Linked DNA regions of Caenorhabditis elegans. The gene in region 1 interacts genetically with each later gene. Each region holds a gene or a part of one and is shown on either strand. Other genes may lie near its edges. The genes, in order: eaf-1 and set-6.

What was found.
Region 2: changes in eaf-1 (region 1) and set-6 impair growth when combined (synthetic growth defect), as found in Caenorhabditis elegans (one large-scale study listed by BioGRID).

The regions. Positions count from the first base shown.
Region 1 is NC_003279.8:4,599,104-4,607,379, forward strand, and holds eaf-1 (Ell-associated factor Eaf), read left to right. Parts: upstream 1-4,113; 5' UTR 4,114-4,119; coding exon 4,120-4,234; intron 4,235-4,312; coding exon 4,313-4,953; 3' UTR 4,954-5,093; downstream 5,094-8,276. Other genes in the region: nrd-1 (CID domain-containing protein), read right to left, coding at 17-468, 788-922, 984-1,522, 1,789-2,411, 2,481-3,000, 3,047-3,305, 3,375-3,536; D1007.8 (Nucleic acid-binding, OB-fold protein), read left to right, coding at 5,300-5,515, 5,564-5,749, 5,797-6,174; C44E4.5 (NudC domain-containing protein 1), read left to right, coding at 6,586-6,697, 6,748-6,914, 7,011-7,329, 7,381-7,448, 7,931-8,021.
Region 2 is NC_003284.9:11,971,091-11,979,595, forward strand, and holds the start of set-6 (Histone-lysine N-methyltransferase set-6), read right to left. Parts: upstream 3,590-8,505; 5' UTR 3,587-3,589; coding exon 3,500-3,586; intron 3,418-3,499; coding exon 3,274-3,417; intron 3,176-3,273; coding exon 3,080-3,175; intron 2,505-3,079; coding exon 2,403-2,504; intron 2,289-2,402; coding exon 2,184-2,288; intron 2,039-2,183; coding exon 1,731-2,038; intron 1,684-1,730; coding exon 1,431-1,683; intron 901-1,430; coding exon 769-900; intron 717-768; coding exon 165-716; intron 1-164.

The DNA.
Region 1 (8,276 bases):
GATCAGTCTAACAAACCTTGATTCACGACGATCATCACGTCTATCATCACGGCGGTCATCATCACGACGATCATCATCTCCCCAACGAGAACGTCTCCTAGCTCCCATATCATCTTGTCTACGACGATCAATTTGAGAACGATCACGATCATAATCACGATGTTCTCTTCCTCCATCTCTTCCTGCACCACCGCCGCCGCGCATCTCTCGTTGTTCACGATTCCACATTTCAGATTGATCCAAAAGACGTCCACGTCCATTTTCCGGACGGAATGGTGGACCTCCACCACCTCGTCTATCAAAATGTGGTGGTGGTGGACCACCGTGTCCTCCACGTCCACCACGGAATGATGGTGGTGGTGGCATATGATGCATACCGCCACGTGGTGGTGGTGGGAATGAGCTCATTGGACCAGCTCCACGGCCAAATGGTGGTGGTGGTGCGCCAGCGTTGAATCCTTGTTGGAACTGAAATTTTTGATTAGAATAGACATTTTAAATAACATAGAGCGGGTTTTACTACGTGACCTAGGAAAATCATGCACCCAGATTTTTCTGAAACTTGCCGAAAATGATCTTATAAAGGGTTTATATCGTTCTGTGGTGGCGATTTTCGAATGAAAATTTTTCTTTTTTATTTTAAATGGGTGGCCGAGTTTTCTGTTTTCTTTTAGCATAAATTTTTTCATTTTTTCGAAATTTTGAACCACCGAAACTCGTTCATTTGGGCAAATTTCGAGTCTTTACAATCCAAAAACTCAGAAGTCATCCTTTAATAACTTCTTACCATTGGTGGTGGTGGCTTATTTGGATCGAATCCCATTGGTGGAATACCCTGTGGTGGTGGAGGACCAACTCCTGGCGGTGGTGGAGCCGGTGGATATCCTGGAATTCCGGGTGGTGGTGGAGCATTGAGATTGAACTGAAATTAATTTGGTAAGATATAAAAGTCTACAAAAATCATTATTAAAGAGATAAATTACCATCGGTGGAACACCTGGAGGAAGACCTGCAGGTCTTGGTTGACCGGGTAATTGTGTGAGTTGATGTTGGAATGGGAAACCCATTGGAGGTGGATGTGGGACTGGAGGTTGAATATTTGGTGGTGGTATAGAAATCACTGTTTCGCCGGTTTCTTTATAAAGCAATTTCTTTTCAATTGGTAGAGATTCAATATCCAACATAGCTCCTTCACAAAGTGCCACTAAATCCAGCGGAAGTTTTTCATATGGGATTTCCAAGACTCCACGATTAGAATCCCATAAATCAGAAAATTGATCTGAATCCATCCCAGGACTTCTTGCCCAGTAAACTTTGACCATTTTCTTGGCGACCGAAACTTCACGCATTTTTGAAACAACATCGTTCGCAGATCTTCGATTTTCCATTGTGATGTAGGCGCATGCACGATTTCCGATAACTTTAACACGAGATGCTTCTCCACATGATTCGACGGCTTGCTTCAAATCGTTTTCAACTATATTTGTGGGGATTTTCTTGAGCCAAAGTGTACGTGAGGCGACTGTAAATTGAAGAAAATATTAATTTGTTTGAATTTCAATAAATTTGTTAAGATATTGTTTCGATACAATATTTCAGGAATTATTTCATAGTGATTTTGTATGATTTTTACAAGGAGCACCAATTTTTTATACGAAAAAGACTTCGAATGATTTTATTATTTTTAAAATCAAAATTGAAATCATCCAAAAATCCCTTTTTTTTGGAAGTTTTTTAGCTCTTCTTGTAAAATCATACAAAATCGCAACTCGTTGTTGTAAAACATACTAATAGTAAATCCAATTCTAACAGGTGGCAATCCCATTCTTCTTCTCTCTTTGCTCTCTCTTTCCTTCTCTTTTTCCCTTAATCGAGCTCGTTCCACATCTCCACTATTGTTAATTCCACTATTTCCACCACTTAATTCCAATATTTTTTTCTCTGGACTCTGTGCGGCTTCATTCAACATTGCTTGCTGTTGAGCTGCTGCGGCGGCTTGGAGGTCATTTAACATTGGATTAACACCATGTTGAAGAGCAAATGGATTAAGCAATGGATTTCCAAGCATAAGAAGATTTCGCTGAGCATTTGGATTTCCTTGTAGAGCTTGAAGTTGAGCAGCACGTTGTTGCAGTTGGAGCATATTCTGAGCATTTTGAACATTCATCAGTTGGGCTTGGTTGAGGCCTGAGAGATTTGGAAGTCCGAGCTGTTGATTTGGAAAACCTGGCGGCAGAGATTGTTGAAGAGCCATCAGATTTGGTGGTGGAGCTCCCAATGTTAAAGCTGCTGACGATGTTGGAACAATATGTTCGCCTGGGAACGGAAGACCAAATGGATTTCCTTGAGGTATCAAGACTTCAGCGAGTTTTGCGAGTATTTGAGGTTGAGTAAGCAAACTTTGAGCCAATCTAGAATTTGAAAAAAAAATTAGAAACATTCTGGAATTAAGAAAAAAATAAAATGCATCAAAAACTCACAACAGGACTTGAGCATGTGGCAGATTTTTCTGTTTCTCTGGTTGTGGTTCCTTTTCCTTCTCTTCTTCATCATCCGAGTATTCAAAATCTTTTGTTAACACATTCTGTATACTACTTCCATTAATCCGATTATTCTCCGCTAGAACTTCTTCTACTTTTTGACTCAAGGATCCAGCGAATATTTGAAGTGCTCTCTGGAGAAGATTCTTGTCCTTACTTAAAACTCCACTGCGATCTATGCCGAACTTCTGAACCAATTCCAACATTTCTCTCTCAGAAATAGTTCCAAGGAAGTAATCTTCAGAAAGCACAAAGTTCGGAATATCTGGGACAGATCTCAGAGCAGATGATGGTCCAGCACCGAGAAGTCCATCATCCGGATGTGGATTTGTAGGAGTACGAGATTTCGGTTGAGACGATGATGAAGACCTTTTTGGCTTTTTCTTGTAAACTCCGGAATAAATGCTCATATCAGCCTGTTTTCCCTTCACGGCGAGCTCAACTTCCTCGAAATCGATAGCTAAAAATCAAACTTTTTTTTTGAATTCTCCACCATAATTACTTACTTAATCCAGAAGCCTTGCACATCTCTCTCAGTGGTTGAATCTCTGATTCCTTGAAAACTTTATTGGACATCCACAAATTAAGAGTTCTAACTGTTCTCATTTTCTCTTTCTGTCCACACTTTAACAGCGGCATCAAAAACTTGTCAAACTGCTTCATAAACCGTGGGCCAAATGTGTCTTTTTCTTTAAGTTGATGTTTTGAAGCACGGACTATTGAATCGATTACATAGAGCACATTTAGACGTTGATCTGGCTTGCACTGAAAAATCATTAATAAAAATAAATAAATTATTTAATTTAAATTTCGATTTCTCGAAATCATTCTAACCTTATTGATAAGTTTTTCAACTGAAAAAACCACATGCTTATATTGGCTTTTTGCTTTGATCGCAGCCTTTGTTATATCCTGAATCTTGTTCTTGCTCATGTTTTTCGAGTCGAATAGTGACGACAATTCATTATTAAACGATTTCATCACTTCCGTCTCCATGGTGATCCCACTGATGAGAGTTTTGTTCTGAAAAAAGCCAATTCAAATTAAAATCGATAATGCGAAGCGAGAAAATAAACTGAATAAAAGGAATAGTGGAAAGATACAATTGCAGAATTAAGAGTAAAGGTGGATGTGCTAATTTTAACGAATAGCAAATATTCCAAACGCTTATTTTTGAAAAATCGATAAATGCGATATGTCGACGGTTTAAAATCCAATGTAAACTATTTTCCCACTAAGTTTTTTCATGATTTTGATACTTTTTCAGTAGTTGAATATAATTTAATAATTTATGTACAAATTCATCTAATTATAGCGTTTTGAATGAAAATAGGAAAGAAAGCCGGCATAAAAATGGTAAAGCGCCGAGGTCAACACTGTGCCGCACACTTGCAAAACGGCGTGCCAGGCTTGCCAACCGAAGACTCCGCCCACAGCTAATGGTACTCTCGCGCACACAATTGGCACTATTCTGAAGAATTTCATTGTAATATATAATAAAATTATCGATTTTTTTTTCAAATTAAAAAATTCAAAATATTCACATATGATTTAATAATAATCATTTTTTCAGTTTCACATGGCAGAGTCAAGTGATATTCCGAATGGTACTTACACCTTGACCCTCGGGAAGTCATTTGAAGTAAAAGGACGGAAAAGTGACCCTAAGGCAGAGCAATTTCACACGCTAAGATGTAGGTTAACTGCACAATTTTAAGATTAAATATATCAGAAATTTAAAAATATAAAATCGAAATAGCTAAAATTTACAGACGATTTCAAGCCAAGCTCTGTATCAAACAATGCCGACACCTTCATAGCGTTTGGGAACAGCGGTGATGTACATGTCTCTGTACCAAGCGAAGGAGACAATATGACTGTATATAAAGGATCGAAAAAAGAAGCAAAACCGAAAGAATGTCTTCTGTTCTTCGACAAAAAGACCAACACAGTTCGCTTGGAGAAAATTACGAGCAATATTAATGTAAAAAAGACGAGAGATCTAGATCAAGGAACAGAACTCGCATTGAAACGTGGAATCGAAAGATTGAGAACTTCTTCTAATAATCAGCGATCTGGACCATCTTCACCGGAGGAGAAAGCGAAAATTCAGAAACAAATGCAGAGAGATACATCAGATTCGAGTAGTGATTCTGATGGATCATCTGATTCCGACAAATCGAATGGCGATTCCAGTGATGATGAAGATGAGAGCGAGAAGATATTATTGGAAGAAATGAAAAAGCCCAAACCATATACAGAAAGAGAACCCGCACCGCCTTCGTCTTCAAATACCTACAATCACAAAGAAAGCCACGTGGCTCCCTATATATCAAGTAGTGGAAATAAAAACAAAGATTCTGAGGAGAAGTATGGATTGGCACTTAGCGAAAGCTCCGACGAAGATGACTAATTTTAAAACATAATATTATTCAGTGTATTCAACCGTCTTTCTTGTGTACTTGTACTAGTGGTGGCAGTTATTTGCTTCTGTGATTTTTTATTTATTTCAAAACCGGGCTATCTATCGCAATCATAAATTTTTTCATTCAGGCTATTCAACAGTTTTATTTTTTCAGGTTTTCTGTTTAATCCGTGCACTATTTTAAAGTCGAACTAAAGTTTCTCTGAAATTTTTAAAATTCGCTGAAACCATTTTATCAATAGAGCATGCTTCTTGCGCTAAACAGTGTCGTTTGTAGACGTCGATTTTATCTTCAAATTTCTGTGTTTTTCTCACATATTGTTCATGATTTCAGATGGAAACTCACCGGTATATTCCAGAACATGCCGTCCCAATGCCGATTTCAGCGCTATTCAATTCAACAAAAGAACGAATCGAGTACGGAACGGCAGACGTTGTTCGCGTTCAAGTGATGGGTGTAATCGAATCTGTGAAGTTCGGAGATTCTGATGTAGAATACATGATTACTGATAAAGATAATCATAATATTTTGGTTCAAAAAATCCTCACCGTTAGTCTGAATATATCGTGTAACATTGGAAAAAAGTATTAATTTCAGGCTTCTTTCACCGAAGAATCTGCCAAGAAGTTCAACGTCGGGGACCGTGTTGAAGTATTCGGAAAAGTTCGAATTTTGGAGAATGGAAAGAAGTTTTTGAACGCATTTTCGATGCACAAAGCTTCAGATGAACAATTCGCCGCTTTTCAAATAATCTGCCGTTTTTCAGAGAAGTTCTATAAAAAGGCAAGTTTCAGTGAATTTTTAAAAGCCAATAATTGCCCATTTTCCAGCACACACCTATCTTGCCAGCAGGCGCCAGCACCAATGTTCCTACTCGTTTCGGTTTGAAGAACAAAGTGGGAAGTTTGAATCGGTTCCCAATGGGAATGCTGGAACAATCATCTTCTTGCGAAAATAATATGGGAGTGTGGCCAACGGAAATTGAACAATTGGCAGCAGGAATATCGACAAGTGGACTTGTTAAAGAAGAATCAGATGTATCTGAGGATAGCAGTGATGATTCGGATGAAGAGGATGAGGAGGAAGAAGAAGAAGATGATGAGGAAGATTCATTTGATAAAGGACCAGTGAGCCTTGTGCCAATGGCTCGAAAGGAGAAGCCAAAAGAGGAGCCGGAACCAGAATATGATTCCTTCGAAAACGCCTGAATTTATAATATTCAGCTTAATTTTATTTTATCGTGTTCAATTTTCACTTATAGACATCTTGCCTTGTCTTTCATTCCACAATCTGTTTTATAAACTTTTATTTCTTTTTTTTTAAATAATTTCAATTTCTAATATGTTCCCTTAAAGGTTTTAAACCTTTTTTCATATCTTCAGTCGGCGGCACACGGTAATTGCCATTTTCCCAATATTCTTTCTAATGAAATTTCAGTATTCTACAACTAAATTTTAATGAAAGAAATTGGTAGAACATTTTATAATAAAAAACGCTTGAAATAAGCAAAATGAAACTAAGAAACTTCTATTTTTCACCAAAAAATTGATTTTTTAGTAATTCATCGAAAAAAAAATGGTTTCAGGCCTGGTCAATCCCCTATACCAATTAAATCTAAAATGCAATCAATCAATCTTCCTGTGGATCATTCCAAGATTGATGCTAACTTTGAAGGATACAAAGTTTCCATGAATAATGTGCACTTTTCGAGCAAAAGCCTGGATCAAAATTGTAATAAAAATCATTTAAATTTTCCATTTTTCGCAAAAAATAATTTTCAGTATGTCTTCGTGCTCCATCCAATGAAATGATTACTCTGCAACATATGAAAGTGTTCTCAAATGATAATCAGCTGTTTTGTGATTATTCGAAATGCACGGATTCCCAACAATTTTTGTATCGTATTTTAGACACCGGGCATATTCAGGCAATGGTTTATGAGAAAAAGGTACATAATTTTACTGTGAATGAGGGTTTCGCTTCAAAAATACTTAACGAATAAACTTAATTGTTTCTTTTCAAAAAATTAAATAAATAATTTCAGACCCAAATATGGAATACCTCGATCGTTGGCTCCATTGATGTTGGGACAAATGCCTCTTCCGCTTTTCCTACTAATCTCTTGTTCACTGAAAACAATCTGGTCGTCGCTTGCAATGGAATTTCTGAAATTACAGTTTTCCTGGCTGTCTCTGACTCAAATTGGGTTAAAATGCTGGAGCATAAGGTTTCAGAGCAAGGTCTTTCACTGATTGAAGCTCGAATTTTAAATGGAAAACTTAATATTTTGGCATATCACGTGGAAAGTGATGATTCCAAAAAGACCAGAAGCAGAATTCACTCGATTCGTATTAATTTGGATGGTTTGTATAATTAAATTTTGAAAAGTAAAAAATTTCCTTCTTTTTTTCCAGATATAGACTATGCTGATAGCCTTACAGTTGAGAAATCAATGGATTTAATTCAAAATGGACACTTTGAGGTTAATTTTTTGAAAATATCAGCGAGGTGCAAAATTTTGCAATGTATCCGGTCTCGACACGCTTTTGCTGTGAAGTAAAAACTGGCGCGCGCCTTTAAAGAGTACTGTAGATTCAAACTTATTTTTAATAGTTTATTTTTATAATTTGTGTGTTTTAATTGTTTTATTCTAGTTGTTTAATAAATATATATTTTTTAACGAAAAACTATTTAGAAAATTGATGAAAATTCGAATTTTTATCGATTTTGTAAATAATTTTCGTTAAAAATGTATATTTTCTTTAAAAAACTAAAATACAACAAGTTACAACACATAAATTTCAGCAATTCGTGAGAGAAACTATTATAAAATAAAGTTATAGAATACAGTAATCTTTAAAGGTGCACCTTCTAATATTTTGTTTTATCGTGTTGAGACCCGGTACAGTACTTTTGGTGCAACCTTTCGTGTGTAATATCCTAACCTTAAATTTATTTTTCCAGACTTGTACATTCACAAATAACGGCGAAATAATATTTCTATCGAGCGAAAAACCCCACGTGGAAGGGCAACAGGAAGATATGGAAGAAAAAGGTTTTTTTCAAATTTAAATAAATAAAAATAATAAAAAAATAATTTGTTGCAATACTACTTTGAAATTTTGAAAAAAAAGAACAACATAATTATTTTTGATCTACCATTTTCTTTTCAAATTTGTTCTACCGATTTTTTTAAATTTTCCCCGCCAAAAATGTTCCTTGTTTTTTTGTTTTCTCATCCATTCCCAATTGTGTGGCTAAAAGTCATTCATTCTTTCCATTGGTTCGACGCGAGCTCCACTCAAAGCCC
Region 2 (8,505 bases), on another chromosome or scaffold:
CGATTGGACAAATTGGAAATGAGATTTGCATGCAAAATGTACCATATATTCTGAACTTTTTCAGTTTAATGTAACTAAAATGTTGTACCCGGAACAGAATTGACACTTTTTCAGGCAGGCCCATCTATGGCTGCTTTATTTTAAAAATATAAAAATTTCCTTACAGGTTCTCCTGGAAAAATGTCCTTCAGAGTGAAAAAAATCATTCGCATATTGGCGGGTGTAAATCCTTCTTTGAAAAGTCGAAGAGGTTCCATATTCGGAGTACATGAATGATTTGCAAATCTGCCAACACTTCCTTGCATTTTGGCGTCCAAGTGAAAATGATGCTTGCTCAATTCGTCCAGTACATCATAGTATTCTGGATTGTTTTTGTACTTTTCACGAAGCAGGTTGTAAAGGTGTTTGTCTCCTTCACAGTCAGTTAACTGGTAACTATAATTTTCCAATGAACTATGCAGCCGTTCTCCATCAACTAGTTCTCCGCAGTATTCAATAATTGGAGTCCCTGCTGGAATGAACAGAGTAGATCGAATTCCAAATCCAATTTGAGGATCTGCACGATAAATTTCAATAGAGTACAGTTTCTTTTGAATCAAGTACGTTGCATTATTAGTGCAAGCTCCTTTACAAGCACATTTTGGTGAACATGCAAACCCAACAGTATTGTAGTAAGTCGGATTTCCATCGTTGTACATAAGGGGTTGAAAAGTATGCTGAAAATAGACAATTTGCAAAATAATTATTAAAACTGAGAAATATACTTACAAATTTCAACTTTTCATTTGTATCCGTTGTTTTGTTTCTAGATTGCAAAAACTGATTTGCAATAAAACACGGGCAATCTTTGTTATCAAAACAGTTGACGACTGGATCTTGGGAACAACATTTACAACGAATCTGAATAAAAAAGCTGATATACTTTTACTAAATGAAATATTGCATTGTCATTTACTTTTATTTTTAAATCATATATAATTCCTTCTCTTAGAGTGTTTTTTAATATTCTAACAGTTTCAACCCCTTACAATTTTGAATTAAAAATATTTTAAACATAATTCAAACATAAAACTACTACTAGAAACTGGAAGAAAAACATTTTTTTTAAACATAAAGTTGATGAAAACTCAGTTTTTACCGTTTTATTCTCGGATTTTGAAAAAAATCAAAACGTTTTCCAAATTAAGTTCAAAATTTTACAATTGTGATATTTGATGATTTTAGAGCCATAAAAATGGTTTTTACTTGTTCTCCAACTTGACGTTCTCTACTACTACTTATTCTACACGTTTTTTCTTAGGTCGCTCATCACAACTGTTCAAGAATGTTTTTCTATTGCCAAAGCCTGTCGTTGCAAAAACTATCGAATTACAATTTTAATTTTTCAACTTGCCAGTTGTTTTATAAATTCGAATCGAAAAACATCATACCACATTTTCTGACGATCCTGCAATTTTGATTGCTTCATATAGCAACGGCTCTTTAACTTTGTCCACCATATTGTTGATAATGTGATCATAAAGAAGGGGGTTTGGAATTTTGACTGTTTTTAGTGTTTCGCCTTTTGCATCTGTGTAAACTGGAATTCTGTGGGTATCATTTGACAAGTGAATATCATCCGTAATACGAATCCGTGTTCTAGGCGCCACATATATCAACTTTTCAAAGTAACGGTCGAGCTCTCTGAAATTAAGCTTTATAACATATAAGTCTACATAAAAATTCCTCACTCAGGTATTTCTTCTTCCCCATGATCACGTTCAGGTTCTTCATAGAAATTACGGCCAAAGGTGGCCAGACATCGAACAGCCATAAACAGAGCTCTCGTGCTTTGCTCGGCTCCCATGAATCTTCGGTAATATCCATTCAACGTTGGGTCTAGCTCTATAATGTCGTCGAACCTAACAGCTTCTTCGTGCATTAGACGGATGTCGTTGTGTTTCTTTATTACTTTCATTTCTTTTTTCCAGTGTTCTCTTCTTTCATTCAAGCTCATGTCGGAGTACTCAAAAATAGATGGGTGACGAAAGTCCGCAATCTGAAAATACAATTTTCAGCTAGAACATTGTCAATAAGTAGATAATTTTGAATGATACAGTTGAGCACTGTTTTTCAGTTATTGTAAATACAACAGTTTTATTCAATTCGGTTTTCAAATTTTTAAAATCTGTAAATATGATTACCCTCGCTGGGTTGACGTTTCGTAGTTCTGCACATATAGTACTGTGATGAGGAGCAAACGAAGATATTGTGCTGTATGTTTTCCTTTTATGACGTTTTGTTTTTGTCTGAAAAAAAAACATTTTGTTGCACAAGGAGGGGTCTCTCTAAATCTCTCTGTAAATGTTCTTAGCGAATTTGAACTAACGGAATTCGGTGGCAATAAAATATGTAAAACCCACTTGGCGTGCTGGAAATGTACATGATGTGGATGCTTCCATTGAGCTCGATGAGGTCCTACTCTTTTTTCGAGACTTAACTTCCAGTTTTCTTTCTTTCGAATGCTGGAATTAGTATTATTGTGAAAATTATGTTTTTTTTGTAGCAATTGTTTGATATACAAACAAATTCTCATCACGTACGATTAAAATATGAACATATCAGGGAGTCAAACAGTTCAAGAACAATTTTGATAATGGCCAATGGATGAAAACCGTATTTTTTCTGTATTTTCACATTCAAAACTTTTTTTAAAAATTTCTAGTTTCTAGCATGAAAAGTGAACATTGTCATTAAACAAATACAATTTGAAAGTAGTTTTTAGTTATAGAAGTGAGCAATCCAGTTAATCTGCATTCCAGGCCGTTGTCACTTCTGAGTAATTTGCTCTAGTGACTATTCACGTTCGAATCATTTTTCCAGAGTTCAATAAATTTGGAGCTGAAAGTCGCCAGACTGCTTCAATGAGCATTTGACGTTATACTTATTTAAAAATTAGTAGCAAGCTGCACATTTCAATTTCATACTTTTTTTCAGTACTGTGCAGAGAATACATTTTTTGTTAAAATTAGGCTAGTAGATATTACCGTTGAAATTGTTATATTTGAAGAATCTCGTTTCAAAAATAAAAACAACCTACTAATCTATGAAAAGATTCAACTGATCTTCTACGCTTTTCCGTCAAATTATTTGAAATCGCTCGATCAACAACTTCCTGCTGGTTTCTTTCCGTAGCCTGTAAAATGACTGTGATTAGGCGGAACTATAAATTTGCAACTATTCAGAATATATATCTTTTTGTTTGTTGAGAAGTCAAAAACATTGAAAACTTACTTCAGATTCATCATCACTAATTGTAATTATAATAGACCGTTCAACAGAGCTATTTGATGTGCTAGATAGGGAGTGATTTCTTTCATCTGAATAACTATTTGATGAGATGGGGCTTTTCCGTGGTTCTTCCCAAATGGTCAGTTCCTGAAGATAAGTTATCGTGAAAATGAAATCTAGGAAACGTTTCTATTTCAAACAAACTTCCATCTACAAAAATGGCACTTACATCGTCGTCGTCACTTATTGTTATTATTGGAACATTTGCTGTTGACATTGAATATGTTGATGAACCTCCAGTTCGAGATCGTTCCATTTTCTATAAGCAGTAAACTAATTAAAGTTGTGGAAAATGAATTTCATGTCGATGAATAAAAAATTACGATTATTACTATAGTACAAAGAAAAAATAAGATTCAATTATTGAAAACTTTCGAAAAAAAGAACTAACAATATGACAAGTTAACTCGCGTTTTGAAAAAATCAATAATCTTGTCCAGTGAAAAAGCGGAACAAATAGAGAGCAGACGTACTAACAGACGCAGATACTAAAGCAGTTTGAGAGAGAAGAGAGACTGGAATTGGGGAAGAGAGATTTAGAGAGTGCATTCTAACCAGTTCAATTGACTGACAAATGTGAGAGGAGCGAAGACAATATTAAAATCTTCAATTGTATTCGTATGAGCAGTATCAAAATTTAGAAAAAAAAGCCTATTAGTAAAATGTTATGTCTTTAAAAGAATGAAGGCACAAAAGACAAACGATATAGCTAAATACGATACGATATAGCTGAATACGATACGATATAGCTGAATAATTTTAGAATATACCAACAATATTCCAGTAGGTACAAGAAGCTTCACGTAGTTACAGAAATAGTACATTTTCAGCCCTACCTTTTAGAGCGTATTTTATTATTTAATAAAAACTACCATTAATAGGCAAAAATAGATGAATTTTTGTAATTTTGAAAATTCATAAATCTCTTCAAAGTAACTTTTTTTGAAATGTCTTTCAGAAACTTTGTAGTAAATTTTAAGCTCTTTCAGAATATATTAACAATATTTCAGTAGTTACAAGAAGCTTCACGTAGTTACAGAAATAGTACATTTTCAGCCCTACCTTTTAGAGCGTATTTTATTATTTAATAAAAATTCATCTATTTTTGCCTATAAATGGTAGTTTTCATTAACTAATAAAATACGCACTAAAAGGTAAAGCTGAAAATGTACTATTTCTGTAACTACGTGAAGCTTCTTGTACCTACTGGAATATTGTTGGTATATTCTAAAAGAGCTTAAAATTTACTACAAAGTTTCTAAAAGACATTTCGAAAAAAGTTACTTTGAAGAGATTTATGAATTTTCAAAGTTTGGAAAATCCATCTATTTTTGCCTATTAATGGTAGTTTTCATTAACTAATAAAATACGCACTAAAAGGTAAAGCTGAAAATGTACTATTTCTGTAACTACGTGAAGCTTCTTGTACCTACTGGAATATTGTTAATATATTCTGAAAGAGCTTAAAATTTACTACAAAGTTTCTGAAAGACATTTCAAAAAAAGTTACTTTGAAGAGATTTATGAATTTTGAAAATTACGAAAATTCATCTATTTTTGCCTCTAAATGGTAGTTTTCATTAAATAATAAAATACGCATTATAAGGTAGGGCTGAAAATGTACTATTTCTGTAACTACGTGAAGCTTCTTGTACCTACTGAAATATTGTTAATATATTCTGAAAGAGCTTAAAATTTACTACAAAGTTTCTGAAAGACATTTCGAAAAAAGTTACTTTGAAGAGATTTATGAATTTTCAAAGTTACGAAAATCCATATATTTTTGCCTATTAATGGTAGTTTTTATTAAATAATAAAATACGCATTATAAGGTAGGGCTGAAAATGTACTATTTCTGTAACTACGTGAAGCTTCTTGTACCTACTGAAATATTGTTAATATATTCTGAAAGAGCTTAAAATTTACTACAGAGTTTTTGAAAGACATTTTGAAAAAAGTTACTTTGAAGAGATTTATGAATTTTCAAAGTTTGGAAAATTCATCTATTTTTGCCTATAAATGGTAGTTTTAATTAAATAATAAAATACGCATTATAAGGTAGGGCTGAAAATGTACTATTTCTGTAACTACGTGAAGCTTCTTGTACCTACTGAAATATTGTTAATATATTCTGAAAGAGCTTAAAATTTACTACAAAGTTTCTGAAAGACATTTCGAAAAAAGTTACTTTGAAGAGATTTATGAATTTTCAAAATTACGAAAATTCATCTATTTTTGCCTCTAAATGGTAGTTTTCATTAAATAATAAAATACGCATTATAAGGTAGGGCTGAAAATGTACTATTTCTGTAACTACGTGAAGCTTCTTGTACCTACTGAAATATTGTTAATATATTCTGAAAGAGCTTAAAATTTACTACAAAGTTTCTGAAAGACATTTCAAAAAAAGTTACTTTGAAGAGATTTATGAATTTTCAAAGTTTGGAAAATCCCTCTATTTTTGCCTATAAATGGTAGTTTTAATTAAATAATAAAATACGCATTATAAGGTAGGGCTGAAAATGTACTATTTCTGTAACTACGTGAAGCTTCTTGTACCTACTGAAATATTGTTAATATATTCTGAAAGAGCTTAAAATTTACTACAAAGTTTCTGAAAGACATTTCAAAAAAAGTTACTTTGAAGAGATTTATGAATTTTCAAAATTACGAAAATTCATCTATTTTTGCCTTTAAATGGTAGTTTTCATTAAATACTAAAATACGCATTAAAAGGTAGGGCTGAAAATGTACTATTTCTGTAACTACGTGAAGCTTCTTGTACTTACTGAAATATTGTTGGTAAATTCTACAAGAGCTTAAAATTTACTACAAAGTTTCTGAAAGACATTTCAAAAAAAGTTACTTTGAAGAGATTTATGAATTTTCAAAATTACGAAAATTCATCTATTTTTGCCTCTAAATGGTAGTTTTAATTAAATAATAAAATACGCACTAAAAGGTAGGGCTGAAAATGTACTATTTCTGTAACTACGTGAAGCTTCTTGTACTTACTGAAATATTGTTGGTAAATTCTACAAGAGCTTAAAATTTACTACAAAGTTTCTGAAAGACATTTCAAAAAAAGTTACTTTGAAGAGATTTATGAATTTTCAAAATTACGAAAATTCATCTATTTTTGCCTTTAAATGGTAGTTTTCATTAAATACTAAAATACGCATTAAAAGGTAGGGCTGAAAATGTACTATTTCTGTAACTACGTGAAGCTTCTTGTACCTACTGAAATATTGTTAATATATTCTGAAAGAGCTTAAAATTTACTACAAAGTTTCTGAAAGACATTTCGAAAAAAGTTACTTTGAAGAGATTTATGAATTTTCAAAATTACGAAAATTCATCTATTTTTGCCTTTAAATGGTAGTTTTCATTAAATACTAAAATACGCATTAAAAGGTAGGGCTGAAAATGTACTATTTCTGTAACTACGTGAAGCTTCTTGTACCTACTGAAATATTGTTAATATATTCTGAAAGAGCTTAAAATTTACTACAAAGTTTCTGAAAGACATTTCGAAAAAAGTTACTTTGAAGAGATTTATGAATTTTCAAAATTACGAAAATTCATCAATTTTTGTTTATAAATGATAGTTTTCATTAAATAATAAAATACGCATTAAAAGGTAGGGCTGAAAATGTACTATTTCTGTAACTACGTGAAGCTTCTTGTACTTACTGAAATATTGTTGGTAAATTCTAAAAGAGCTTAAAATTTACTCCAAAGTTTCTGAAAGACATTTCAAAAAAAGTTACTTTGAAGAGATTTATGAATTTTCAAAATTACGAAAATTCATCTATTTTTGCCTTTAAATGGTAGTTTTCATTAAATACTAAAATACGCATTAAAAGGTAGGGCTGAAAATGTACTATTTCTGTAACTACGTGAAGCTTCTTGTACCTACTGAAATATTGTTAATATATTCTGAAAGAGCTTAAAATTTACTACAAAGTTTCTGAAAGACATTTCGAAAAAAGTTACTTTGAAGAGATTTATGAATTTTCAAAATTACGAAAATTCATCTATTTTTGCCTATTAATGGTAGTTTTTATTAAATAATAAAATACGCACTAAAAGGTAGGGCTGAAAATGTACTATTTCTGTAACTACGTGAAGCTTCTTGTACCTACTGAAATATTGTTAATATATTCTGAAAGAGCTTAAAATTTACTACAAAGTTTCTGAAAGACATTTCGAAAAAAGTTACTTTGAAGAGATTTATGAATTTTCAAAGGTTTGGAAAATCCATATATTTTTGCCTATTAATGGTAGTTTTTATTAAATAATAAAATACGCACTAAAAGGTAGGGCTGAAAATGTACTATTTCTGTAACTACGTGAAGCTTCTTGTACCTACTGAAATATTGTTAATATATTCTGAATACATTTTCTTGCATTAGGTTGGACAATGATAGAATGTTTGAAAAAAGTTACTTTGAAGAGATTTATGAATTTTCAAAGTTTGGAAAATTCATCTATTTTTGCCTATAAATGGTAGTTTTAATTAAATAATAAAATACGCATTATAAGGTAGGGCTGAAAATGTACTATATCTGTAACTACGTGAAGCTTCTTGTACCTACTGAAATATTTTTTATTTATTCTGAAAGAGCTTAAAATTTACTACAAAGTTTCTGAAAGACATTTCGAAAAAAGTTACTTTGAAGAGATTTATGAATTTTCAAAATTACGAAAATTCATCAATTTTTGTTTATAAATGATAGTTTTCATTAAATAATAAAATACGCATTAAAAGGTAGGGCTGAAAATGTACTATTTCTGTAACTACGTGAAGCTTCTTGTACTTACTGAAATATTGTTGGTAAATTCTAAAAGAGCTTAAAATTTACTACAAAGTTTCTGAAAGACATTTCAAAAAAAGTTACTTTGAAGAGATTTATGAATTTTCAAAATTACGAAAATTCATCAATTTTTGTTTATAAATGATAGTTTTCATTAAATAATAAAATACGCATTAAAAGGTAGGGCTGAAAATGTACTATTTCTGTAACTACGTGAAGCTTCTTGTACTTACTGAAATATTGTTGGTAAATTCTAAAAGAGCTTAAAATTTACTACAAAGTTTCTGAAAGACATTTCGAAAAAAGTTACTTTGAAGAGATTTATGAATTTTCAAAATTACGAAAATTCATCAATTTT